Drosophila melanogaster: one gene and its partner. The protein of the gene in region 1 purifies or fractionates together with the protein of each later gene. This does not show direct contact. Each region holds a gene or a part of one and is shown on either strand. Other genes may lie near its edges.

Region 1 (3,613 bases):
CCTCGCGGCAAGTGGATTCAGGCATCTTGACCCGCATCGATGCGGATCTAATCGACGGGTCGGAGGAGCAGCACCGCTGTATCGTGGATATCTGGACAAAGGTCTGGGTGAGGAAGGATGAGCACGAAATCACCTTTAAGTGCCGCAACCAGCCGGTGGTCCAGGCCCGACACACGCGATCCGTGGAGTGGGCCGAGAAGAAGACGCACAAGAAGCACAGCCATCGCTTTGACAAGGTGGACCACCTCTTCTACAAGTTCCAGGTGCGATTTGGCCGTCGCTACGTAAGCACCGCCGAGCGCCAGATGCGCCTGCGCATTTTCCGTCAGAACCTGAAGACTATCGAGGAGCTAAACGCCAACGAGATGGGCAGCGCCAAGTACGGCATCACGGAGTTTGCTGATATGACCAGCTCGGAATACAAGGAACGCACGGGACTCTGGCAGCGTGATGAGGCAAAGGCCACTGGCGGATCGGCGGCTGTCGTACCGGCTTACCATGGTGAACTGCCGAAGGAGTTTGACTGGAGGCAGAAGGATGCTGTCACCCAGGTGAAGAATCAGGGATCCTGCGGTTCATGCTGGGCCTTCAGTGTGACCGGCAACATCGAAGGCCTGTACGCAGTGAAAACGGGCGAATTGAAAGAGTTCTCCGAACAGGAGCTGCTGGACTGTGATACCACGGATAGTGCCTGCAACGGCGGCCTCATGGACAATGCTTACAAGTAAGTTACGAGGGAATGAACATTACGATGTAGATACTTATGTAATAATTCCTCCGCAGGGCCATTAAGGATATTGGCGGCCTAGAGTACGAGGCTGAGTACCCATACAAGGCCAAAAAGAATCAGTGCCACTTCAACAGGACTTTGTCCCACGTTCAGGTTGCCGGCTTCGTGGATCTGCCGAAGGGAAATGAGACCGCCATGCAGGAGTGGCTTCTCGCCAATGGTCCCATTTCGATCGGTAAGTCGATGCAGAAAATTAACCCCAAAGCCCACTTAACCAGATCATTTCTCTAGGCATCAATGCGAATGCTATGCAGTTCTATCGCGGCGGAGTTTCCCATCCGTGGAAGGCCCTGTGCTCCAAGAAAAACCTCGACCACGGTGTTCTAGTTGTGGGGTATGGCGTCTCCGACTATCCCAATTTCCACAAGACCTTGCCCTACTGGATTGTGAAGAACTCGTGGGGTCCGCGCTGGGGAGAGCAGGGCTATTATCGCGTTTATCGTGGTGACAACACTTGCGGCGTCAGCGAAATGGCCACTTCGGCTGTGCTGGCCTAGACTTGCTTTGAGTCCAATTATATACAAGCATACGACTATATCTAGGTTAATAATTTAGCCAGTAACTTTGTGTACAATTAATTCTGTTTCCATGTTCTTCAACCGTCACGATAAGGAGTCGTTGAGTTTCAAAGCTTCGCCTATATAGTATAATCATTTCAGACATCTGTAATCTCACGAAAAAGTCTGCATCCACATATTCCGCTTTAATTGAAAATAACAATAAATTGTACAAGAATTAAAACCTGGTTGGGTTTATTATTGAATCCATGACAGCTCTGGCCGCAGCAACAGTTGGTCAAGATTGATGGTTGGTTGGATCAAGAAAAATGTTGAATTTATGTGAGATGTATTCAAATTATTCGATTAAAATGGTTTGATTAAATATGGGTGCCAGAGTATTATTGGCTGTTAAGAAATATTTATAACTGCTTCAATTACTGGAACATTTGACCCAGTGATTTTGATGATTGATTTTCAAACACTTTGTCAGTGTGTAGAAGTGCAATATGTTAATTAGATTTAGACCAGGGCCGTCGCACCGTGGGAAGCCATAGAAAATGAGTGTTTCTGGTGCAGAACCAGCCAGCTCAGTAGCAGCTTGAAGCGCATCGCGGGCGGTAGCGGAGCAATGGCCATGGACGACTACGATGATGACAGTAAGTGAACACAGACAAAAGGATGCAGATACAAAATTGCGTAAAAATCATTACCCAGTGAGCAGCGTGGGCGTGACCACGGCCCGAATCGAGAACCAGCACCAACAGCACCCCCACCAGCAGGGTCAGCATGGACACCACCAACAGGGCCAGGGTCAAAGCCAGTACAGCGCAGGGGCGGTCAAAGTGGGCGGATGGCGATACGAGGACGCCAGTCGCTACATCGGCGAGTGGAACCAGCGTGGCCAAAAGCACGGCATCGGGCATCTGCAGTTCGCCGATGGCACCCGCTACGATGGGCAGTTCCAGGAGGGTCTTAGTCAAGGAGTGGGCTGCCTCTGGTTCGCGGATGGAGCAAAGTCAGTTTCAATAATATTAGTGATGTAAACCTAAACGAAATATTGTAGCACTTGAAAACTATTCTTGTAGCCACTACTCGGGGAGTAAGAGGAAATGCTAGTATATATATTCTTGATCAGAAATGGTTTAGCTATAATTTACCTAGGGTTTGCATCCAGTGAAGAAAATTGTATATGATGATTCATTTTGCACATTTTTAAGACAGATACGAAGGCGAGTTTCATCAGGGCTGGTTTCATGGTAATGGGATCTTCTGGAGAGCCGATGGAATGAAGTACGAGGGCGAGTTTCGAGGCGGCAAGATCTGGGGCCTGGGATTGCTGACGTTCCAGGACTTCACGCACGGCTTTCCCAGAAACGAGGGATTCTTTCAAGACTGCCGCTTTATGAGACGACGTCGATGTCCCGAGGTGGTGCAGCGTGCACAAAAGTGCGCTCTTATGGCCCGTTCCCAGTGCGAACACCCATACTGAACAGACACTTCAGATTGGTTACCAGTTGGTATTGATAAACACGTACAGTTTAAAAATACAAATTTTAGTAACCGACTGTAAGAGTCTCAAGTCATAAAACAGAAAAAGGTGCCTTTAAGAAAAGAAATAAGCATTTCTTTCTTAACATCTTAAACTTTAATACATTTGCGCATAAACGTTCGTAAATGTATCTAAGTAATATAAAATGCATACAATTTCGCGTTTACTTTATAATTTTGCTTTTTCCAAATTCTTTATCAAAAATTCTTCAACGCACCCTAATAAAAACAACAAGAAAATTATGAAGAATTTGTGCGTGTGCTTATTGGATTATAATATTAACAAGAACGGAGTTGTTTCTCTGCTAATTCGGACTAGGCGCACCGACCAGGTACCACGCATTCCTGGCCTTCACCGCTGTGTTCCGCACCAGACGCTTGGGATCATCCAAGGCGGCGGCCAGGGCCAGAGTAACATCGACTTTGTGGGGCAACAGGACGAAGGTAGGATACTTTGTCACATCGTAGAGCAGCTGCAGCGCCGCAATTCGCACTTGCTATAAGAAAGAAAATGAGTTTAAGTTTTGTGTTCGACATTTTCCTTTACAAGTTAAGAAACCTCCTCAATTAACTATCAAATCTTTATAATAATATGTGCATGTTTAACTTACCATGGTATGCTGAGCCTTGTATTTCGACAGCTCCAGACAGCTGGGTATGAGGTGGGCCAAATGCCCTTGGAAATACGTGTCCTGCTGCGCCACAAACTTTTCACAGATGCCCAATGCAATGCACAGCGACTGCGCCTCGTTGTGCTCCTCCAAGCTCTTGAAAA
Region 2 (7,991 bases), on another chromosome or scaffold:
AGACATCGCTGTTCTACTATCAGCGCTCGCCCAACTTTTGTGAGCGCGATCTGGGAGCTGATATACAGGGTGAGTTAATGTTCGTACTATAACATTTTCATTTTCCAATTATTATACTCACTCAATATTCAGCTTAAACATCTTATCAGTTTAACGTCCTACCCACATAACCATTACTTAATAAGTTAATTTACAATTTTGTCGTTAGAAAATGCGTTGCAACTAATTAAAAATGATTTACCGATACGAAGCGAGCGATAAATTTGATTTGGCTCTAATAAATAAATCTCAAATGCAAATGAACAACGCCAGCAACCGCAAATGCAGCAAAAATGTATTTTTCTTTTTTTTTTTTTTGGTTTGTGTTTTAAACGGGCTACCAAACCTGCCACATAATTTACGAAAAAAATGCGACAGCGACGCATGCGCACAGCAGCTCAGCTTAGCTTAGCTCAGTTTGGATCGGATCGGATTGGATTGGTTCGGATCAGCTCAACTCAGTTTGGATTGTATAAAGCAGTGGCGGAGACTGAAAATCTGAGGGGGGTTCTTATTTGACATTCTTAAAATAAAGGTTTTTGATATGTTATCTAAACTACAATTGGCCGAAACATACTAAAAGAAAATCGTTACTTTTTATGCTTGGAAATGAGTTTGGGTTAATTGTATCCCCTCATTTCTCCCCCCTTGCTTGTACTCTGGCTTGGGGGATCGGTCGAAACTGCGGCACGTTCACATCGAAATCGACGTCTAACTGCCACTTGCAATTTTCGTTAGCCATTTTGCTGTTGACACATTTGCAAATTATCAAGCGTCGCTGCTGCCCCGCCAACTGCCAGCAGTTTAAAAGTGTTAATTACGACGCAAATTTATAATTAATCGTCGGCTTAGCCCGGTAACTCCAGCTTCACTTCAAGCTCCAACTCAGGCTCCAACAGCAGTGAACTGGGGAGCAGCCAGCCCATCGGGCGTTTTGATTCATGTGTCCGTGTCCGGTGTCGTGTCTATTCAAATGATAGCAATTAACGCTGGCAATTATCGTCGGCCAAACAATTATGATACTTTGTTTGTGCTTTAGTTTAATAGTTTATTTATGGTCTTTTAATTGCTTGTCCGCCAGTAGGCGGGATTAACTGCCATTTGGCGATGGATTGCATTTGATGAGAACACTTAATCATTTGCTAATTACGCAAATCTTACACCACTAATTTTATTAACTTGTTATTTTTATATTTTAATAGATACCACATAATTTTCTTTTCTGATGATTATATCTTTAGAAAAACATAAACATGACTAATCTGAGCCAATTTCCGCACAGGCACCGTGGGACGCAAGTGCAATCGGAACACCACGACCAGCGACGGATGCACCTCCCTCTGCTGTGGCCGTGGCCACAGCCAGGTCATCCAGCGGAGGGCGGAGCGGTGTCACTGTAAATTCCAATGGTGCTGTAATGTGGAGTGCGAGGAGTGCCACGTAGAGGAATGGATTAGCATATGCAATTAAGGACAATGGACGCAAGACGAAGGACGATGAAGTGATGGAGCGATGGAGCCTCAGCCACATGCATAAGAAAAGACTTTTCTTCATTCTCACAGAACTTAACACACAAAGAAATCAGTATTACAGAAAAAAAAACATAAAGTACGCAATAGGGCAAACATCAATAAACAACGTGTGTGAATGCAATGCCTAGTTTAGCAATCTCCAGCCATTTGGAATACGTATAAATATATTTTGTAAATACGAACAATAAGATGCATAATTAGTCTGTCAATCAGCTGACTTTCACTCGCATTGCCAATTTCCCTTTCACCTCGGCATTTTGGCCATCTGTGTCGCCGCTTTTTTCACTTGCACGTGAATGTCGCCGCCGCTAATTGAATTAGCCAGCTAAATAGTTGTCCAAGGTGTGCACCCAGGTACTGCCCATTGAATGGCTTCCTTCCTTGCCAGTGAAAAGCCTCCGATTGCATTGGCCCATCATTTAGTTGGCTAACGGCAGCGGTACGTGCTGCATGCGTGCGGTCGGTTCGAAGTTCCACACAAGTACATCCTTGCAACCAAAAATACACAGCTGCAGGATAAGTGTGCCAATCTGCGGCAGCGAAGGTGTGTCCTGAAGGATTAAGTGTTTGAAGCCCTGTGAAGTGGATATAATACAAATAACCCCCTAGAATCCCTTTATCCAAAGTTGCTGATTCAAAATACAAACCTAGGAAGGATTAATTACCAAGGATAAATCGTACATTTAACTTTTTCGTTTTCACATGAATTATTTAAGTGTTTTATAGAAAATGGTTTTATTATAATTTTACATTTCAAAATTGCATCTTATTTGTTTAAAGGTCCTTGAAATCTTTCGTGCTTGCAAAGCAAACATTCCAAAATATCCTTACGTTAAGTAAACCAAAGTAACTTAACTTTCACCTTTAAAGAAAAAGCAAATTGTTATTAGAAGCAAAAGATTACAATGAAACCTCTAGAATGCCCATTCTTAAGTGTTTTGCAACAATGAACCCAAATATAATGCGATTTGCATGAGGGAAAATTGAAAAAGAAAACCTTTGAAGCCCATTTTATGATAGACCCAATTCCCAAGTTTAACCCACATGTTCTTCGAATATTCAGAATAAGCATCTAAGTCATGATGTATTTACCGTACGCGCAATTGCCGGATCCTACGGATAAATTCGAGATCTACGAGGAGATAGCCCAAGGCGTCAATGCCAAGGTTTTTCGGGCCAAGGAGCTCGACAATGATCGGATCGTTGCCCTGAAGATTCAGCACTACGATGAGGAGCACCAGGTTTCCATCGAGGAGGAGTATCGCACTCTGCGGGACTACTGCGACCATCCCAATCTTCCCGAGTTCTATGGCGTCTACAAGCTGTCGAAGCCAAACGGACCTGATGAGATCTGGTTTGTCATGGAGGTGAGTCAAAACATTTTGTTAATATTTTATTAAATTTTTTCCAAAAATTTAAATCCAATTTTTTGTAATTTATATAAACCATTTGAATATTTCAGTACTGCGCTGGGGGAACAGCAGTGGACATGGTTAACAAGCTTTTGAAACTGGATCGTCGAATGCGAGAGGAGCACATCGCCTACATTATCCGGGAGACTTGCCGTGCTGCCATCGAGCTGAACCGTAATCATGTCCTGCATCGGGACATTCGGGGAGATAACATATTGTTGACCAAAAATGGACGGGTCAAGCTGTGCGATTTCGGTTTATCCCGTCAGGTGGATTCCACTCTGGGCAAGAGGGGCACCTGCATTGGATCTCCCTGCTGGATGGCTCCCGAAGTGGTGTCCGCCATGGAATCCCGCGAACCGGACATCACCGTTCGTGCCGATGTCTGGGCCTTGGGAATCACTACCATTGAGTTGGCCGATGGAAAGCCACCGTTCGCTGACATGCATCCCACTAGGGCCATGTTCCAGATCATTCGCAATCCACCGCCGACCTTAATGCGACCCACTAATTGGTCGCAGCAGATCAATGATTTTATATCCGAGAGTTTGGAGAAAAATGCCGAAAATCGGCCCATGATGGTTGAGATGGTGGAGCATCCATTCCTCACGGAGCTCATCGAAAACGAGGACGAGATGCGATCGGACATCGCAGAAATGTTGGAACTCTCTAGGGATGTAAAGACTTTGTACAAGGAGCCGGAATTGTTCGTGGACCGCGGCTATGTGAAGAGGTTCGATGAGAAGCCGGAAAAGATGTATCCGGAGGACTTGGCTGCCTTGGAAAATCCCGTGGATGAAAACATAATCGAGTCACTGCGTCATCGCATTTTGATGGGGGAATCGTACAGTTTCATTGGCGATATCCTTTTATCCTTGAATTCCAATGAAATCAAGCAGGAATTTCCGCAGGAGGTAAGTTGAAAACATCTAATATGTATACTTAAATATGTTATATTTATCCTTTCTCTAGTTCCATGCCAAGTATCGCTTCAAGTCGCGTTCGGAAAACCAGCCGCATATTTTCTCGGTGGCCGATATCGCCTACCAGGATATGCTGCATCATAAGGAGCCGCAACACATCGTGCTCTCCGGAGAGAGCTACTCGGGCAAGTCCACAAATGCCCGGCTGCTAATCAAGCATCTGTGCTACTTGGGTGATGGAAATCGTGGGGCCACCGGGCGCGTGGAGAGCTCCATCAAGGCCATCCTGATGTTGGTGAATGCAGGAACTCCGGTAAACAACGACTCCACAAGATGTGTCCTACAATATTGCTTGACCTTTGGAAAAACCGGCAAAATGAGTGGGGCCGTTTTTAATATGTATATGCTGGAGAAACTACGAGTGGCCACTACGGACGGAACCCAGCACAACTTCCACATCTTCTACTACTTCTACGACTTTATTAATCAGCAAAATCAGCTTAAGGAGTACAATCTGAAGGCTGATCGCAATTATCGTTATCTGCGAGTTCCGCCAGAGGTTCCGCCATCGAAACTCAAGTATCGTCGTGATGATCCCGAGGGCAATGTGGAGAGGTACAGGGAGTTCGAGAACATCCTGCGGGACATTGATTTCAATCACAAGCAATTGGAGACCGTTCGCAAAGTTTTGGCTGCCATTTTGAACATTGGCAACATCCGTTTCCGGCAGAACGGAAAGTATGCGGAAGTGGAGAACACGGACATTGTGTCCCGGATCGCCGAGCTCCTCCGTGTGGATGAGAAAAAGTTCATGTGGTCTCTGACCAACTTCATTATGGTCAAGGGCGGGATCGCCGAGAGGCGACAGTACACCACTGAAGAAGCTAGGGATGCACGCGATGCGGTGGCCAGCACGCTCTACTCTCGATTGGTGGACTTTATCATCAACAGGATTAACATGAACATGTCCTTCCCACGGGCTGTGTTGTAAGTAATATTAAAAAAAAAGTTACAAATTCATAAGTTTAACAATGTGGCTTAAATAACTTTTTAAGCGGAGACACAAATGCCATCATTATTCACGACATGTTTGGATTTGAGTGCTTTAATCGAAATGGTCTGGAGCAACTAATGATCAATACTCTAAACGAGCAAATGCAATATCACTACAATCAACGTATTTTTATCAGCGAAATGCTGGAAATGGAAGCTGAAGACATTGACACCATCAACTTGAATTTCTATGACAACAAGACAGCTCTGGATAATCTGCTAACCAAACCGGATGGCCTGTTCTACATCATTGACGATGCCTCACGCTCCTGTCAAGATCAGGATTTGATTATGGGTATACAACCAATTCTGGCACCACTTTGGATATGTGATTTAACCACTTTCCATCTACAGATCGCGTTTCGGAGAAGCACAGCCAGTTTGTGAAGAAGCACACTGCCACTGAAATATCCGTGGCTCATTACACGGGCCGCATCATCTATGATACGCGCGCCTTCACCGACATCAACCGGGACTTTGTGCCGCCGGAAATGATCGAGACCTTCCGCTCCTCGCTGGATGAGAGCATCATGCTCATGTTCACCAATCAACTGACCAAGGCTGGCAATCTCACCATGCCATTCGAGGCAGTGCAGCATAAGGATGAATCTGAACGGAAGTCATATGTAAGTCTGTCACAGTTTTTATTAGCTAACCTAAATTTGGTATATTTTTGTAAACTATGCATTTCAGGCCTTGAATACCCTAAGTGCCGGATGCATCTCCCAAGTGAACAATCTACGTACCCTGGCGGCCAACTTCCGCTTCACCTGCCTGACCCTGCTCAAAATGCTAAGCCAGAATGCAAATCTCGGCGTGCACTTCGTTCGCTGCATTCGCGCTGATCTGGAGTACAAGCCCAGATCCTTCCACTCGGATGTCGTCCAGCAACAGATGAAGGCCTTGGGAGTTCTGGACACTGTTATTGCTCGCCAGAAGGGATTCAGCTCGCGTCTGCCATTCGACGAGTTCCTAAGGCGGTGGGTAATCGATTCCATTCCAGTTTCCATTTAAAGATTTCTAAATATTTAAAATATTCGTATTAGATACCAATTCCTTGCCTTTGACTTTGATGAGCCCGTGGAAATGACCAAGGATAACTGTCGTCTATTATTCTTGCGCCTCAAGATGGAAGGCTGGGCCTTGGGCAAGACCAAGGTGTTTTTGCGCTACTATAACGATGAGTTCTTAGCCAGGTGAGCTATCAATTCATACGCATTGAGAAAAGCAAGTACTATCAATTGCTTTCAGATTGTATGAGCTGCAGGTGAAGAAGGTCATCAAAGTGCAGTCCATGATGCGAGCTTTGCTAGCACGGAAACGAGTTAAGGGCGGCAAAGTTTTCAAATGTAAGATATAAATAATACTTATACAGTATATGGTATGAAATCTAATTTTAAATTCCCTATTAGTGGGCAAAAAGGGACCGGAGCATCATGATGTGGCCGCGTCCAAAATACAAAAAGGTAAAAAAACGCAGGTGGATAGGCTAAGAGAGTACGACGAGGAGCACATCGACATAAGCGAGACGCCCTCGGAGGCGGAGGAGATGTTCCTCGAGGCCAGAATGGATGAGGCTCTGGCAGCGGTGCGAATAGCCAAAATCGAGCAGGCCTCCGCCGAGGAATAGGCCCCTACTATATACCATTTATACACACTATATCACTATATCGATCGATACTAATCGTAATACGACTACCAATAAAATGTAGAAAACGCAAACAACCAGCTATCATCTAGTCTAGGGCCTCGGCAAACCACTTAAGCCGCTTAGTGGTGTCCAATGTGGATACCATCCCACCCCATCCCGCTGGGCGGTTGTGTTCTCCATCTGATGCAACCAATCGGCTTATAGCTGTCTGAGACATAACACTTAACATCGACGGCCCCTGCGAAAAGAGATGAATTATAAGTGCTGCGTAGAAAAGAAATGAAAATTTAATTAAATTAAGGTGACTTCCCTCTCATTCACCACCACCGTCCACCGCCGCGACCGCTTTTCAAATGGGTTACTCTAACGGCCTTCCTCCGTTTCCATTTTCCCACAGCCTTCAGGGGATTCCGCGACCGCGTCCGCCTCCCTCCGCTGGTCAACGAGAAGTCCGGCCAACTAAACGAGAACACCGCCGACTTTATCCGTCCGTTTGCCAAGAAATGGCGCGAGAAGTCTATCTTCCAGGTCCTCCTGCACTACCGCGCGGCTCGCTTCCAGGACTTTGTCAATCTCTCACAGCAGGTGAGTTCAAATCTCTTATCTTCAAATCCAATATATATATATATATATATTATATTATGTACCAGGTCCACATCTACAACCAACGAATGGTGGCTGGCTTGAATAAATGTACTCGGGCTGTGCCCTTCGAGAGGATCAATATGCGCGAAGTGAACTCCTCGCAGCTAGGACCACTGCCAGTGCCCATAAAAAAGATGCCATTCCGCCTGGATCAGATACCCTTCTATGACACCCAGTATATGGTGGACCCGGCCAATTCCATTTCCCGCCAAGCCTTCCCCAATCAGCTACTAACGCAGCACATGGAGGACGATGAGCCTTGGGACAGCCCTCTGCAACGCAATCCTTCGATGACTTCTTGTGCCCTGACCTACAATGCCTATAAGAAGGAGCAGGCTTGCCAGACCAACTGGGATCGCATGGGCGAGAGCGACAATATCTACAATCAGGGCTACTTCCGAGATCCCCAACAGCTGAGGAGGTTAGCAAAGATACTCAAAGGTTGAACTTAAGTTTCTAACACTTTTTTTCAGAAATCAAATGCAGATGAACATGAATGCCTATAACAATGCCTACAACAGCTATAACAGCAACTATAACAACCAGAACTGGGGCGTACATCGATCCGGATCCAGGCGCAACTCCTTGAAGGGCTATGCGGCGCCTCCACCTCCTCCTCCACCAATGCCCTCATCCAACTATTATCGCAATAATCCGAACCAGCAGCAACGCAACTATCAGCAAAGATCCTCGTATCCTCCGTCGGATCCAGTTAGAGAACTTCAGAACATGGCTC

The links. Proteins that work in one complex are often made in the same cells at the same time.
Region 2: the proteins of rtp (region 1) and ninaC purify together in Drosophila melanogaster (affinity purification with western blotting; one study listed by BioGRID). This does not show direct contact.

What each region holds. Positions count from the first base shown.
Region 1 is NT_033777.3:5,235,565-5,239,177, reverse strand, and holds rtp (retinophilin), read left to right. Parts: upstream 1-1,862; 5' UTR 1,863-1,918; coding exon 1,919-1,946; intron 1,947-2,004; coding exon 2,005-2,305; intron 2,306-2,511; coding exon 2,512-2,779; 3' UTR 2,780-3,086; downstream 3,087-3,613. Other genes in the region: CtsF (cathepsin F), read left to right, coding at 1-724, 784-965, 1,022-1,287; Mms19, read right to left, coding at 3,144-3,335, 3,450-3,613. UniProt on the Drosophila melanogaster protein: Plays a role in promoting axonal degeneration following neuronal injury by toxic insult or trauma.
Region 2 is NT_033779.5:7,375,751-7,383,741, forward strand, and holds the start of ninaC (neither inactivation nor afterpotential C), read left to right. Parts: upstream 1-1,951; 5' UTR 1,952-2,115; intron 2,116-2,634; 5' UTR 2,635-2,650; coding exon 2,651-2,938; intron 2,939-3,033; coding exon 3,034-3,897; intron 3,898-3,955; coding exon 3,956-4,893; intron 4,894-4,961; coding exon 4,962-5,254; intron 5,255-5,313; coding exon 5,314-5,585; intron 5,586-5,652; coding exon 5,653-5,939; intron 5,940-6,005; coding exon 6,006-6,155; intron 6,156-6,210; coding exon 6,211-6,308; intron 6,309-6,371; coding exon 6,372-6,425; coding exon of another isoform or gene 6,426-6,589; exon of another isoform or gene 6,590-7,007; coding exon 7,008-7,195; intron 7,196-7,260; coding exon 7,261-7,676; intron 7,677-7,728; coding exon 7,729-7,991. Other genes in the region: Wnt10 (Wnt oncogene analog 10), read left to right, coding at 1-69, 1,322-1,509. UniProt on the Drosophila melanogaster protein: Required for photoreceptor cell function. The ninaC proteins combines putative serine/threonine-protein kinase and myosin activities. Essential for the expression and stability of the rtp protein in the photoreceptors.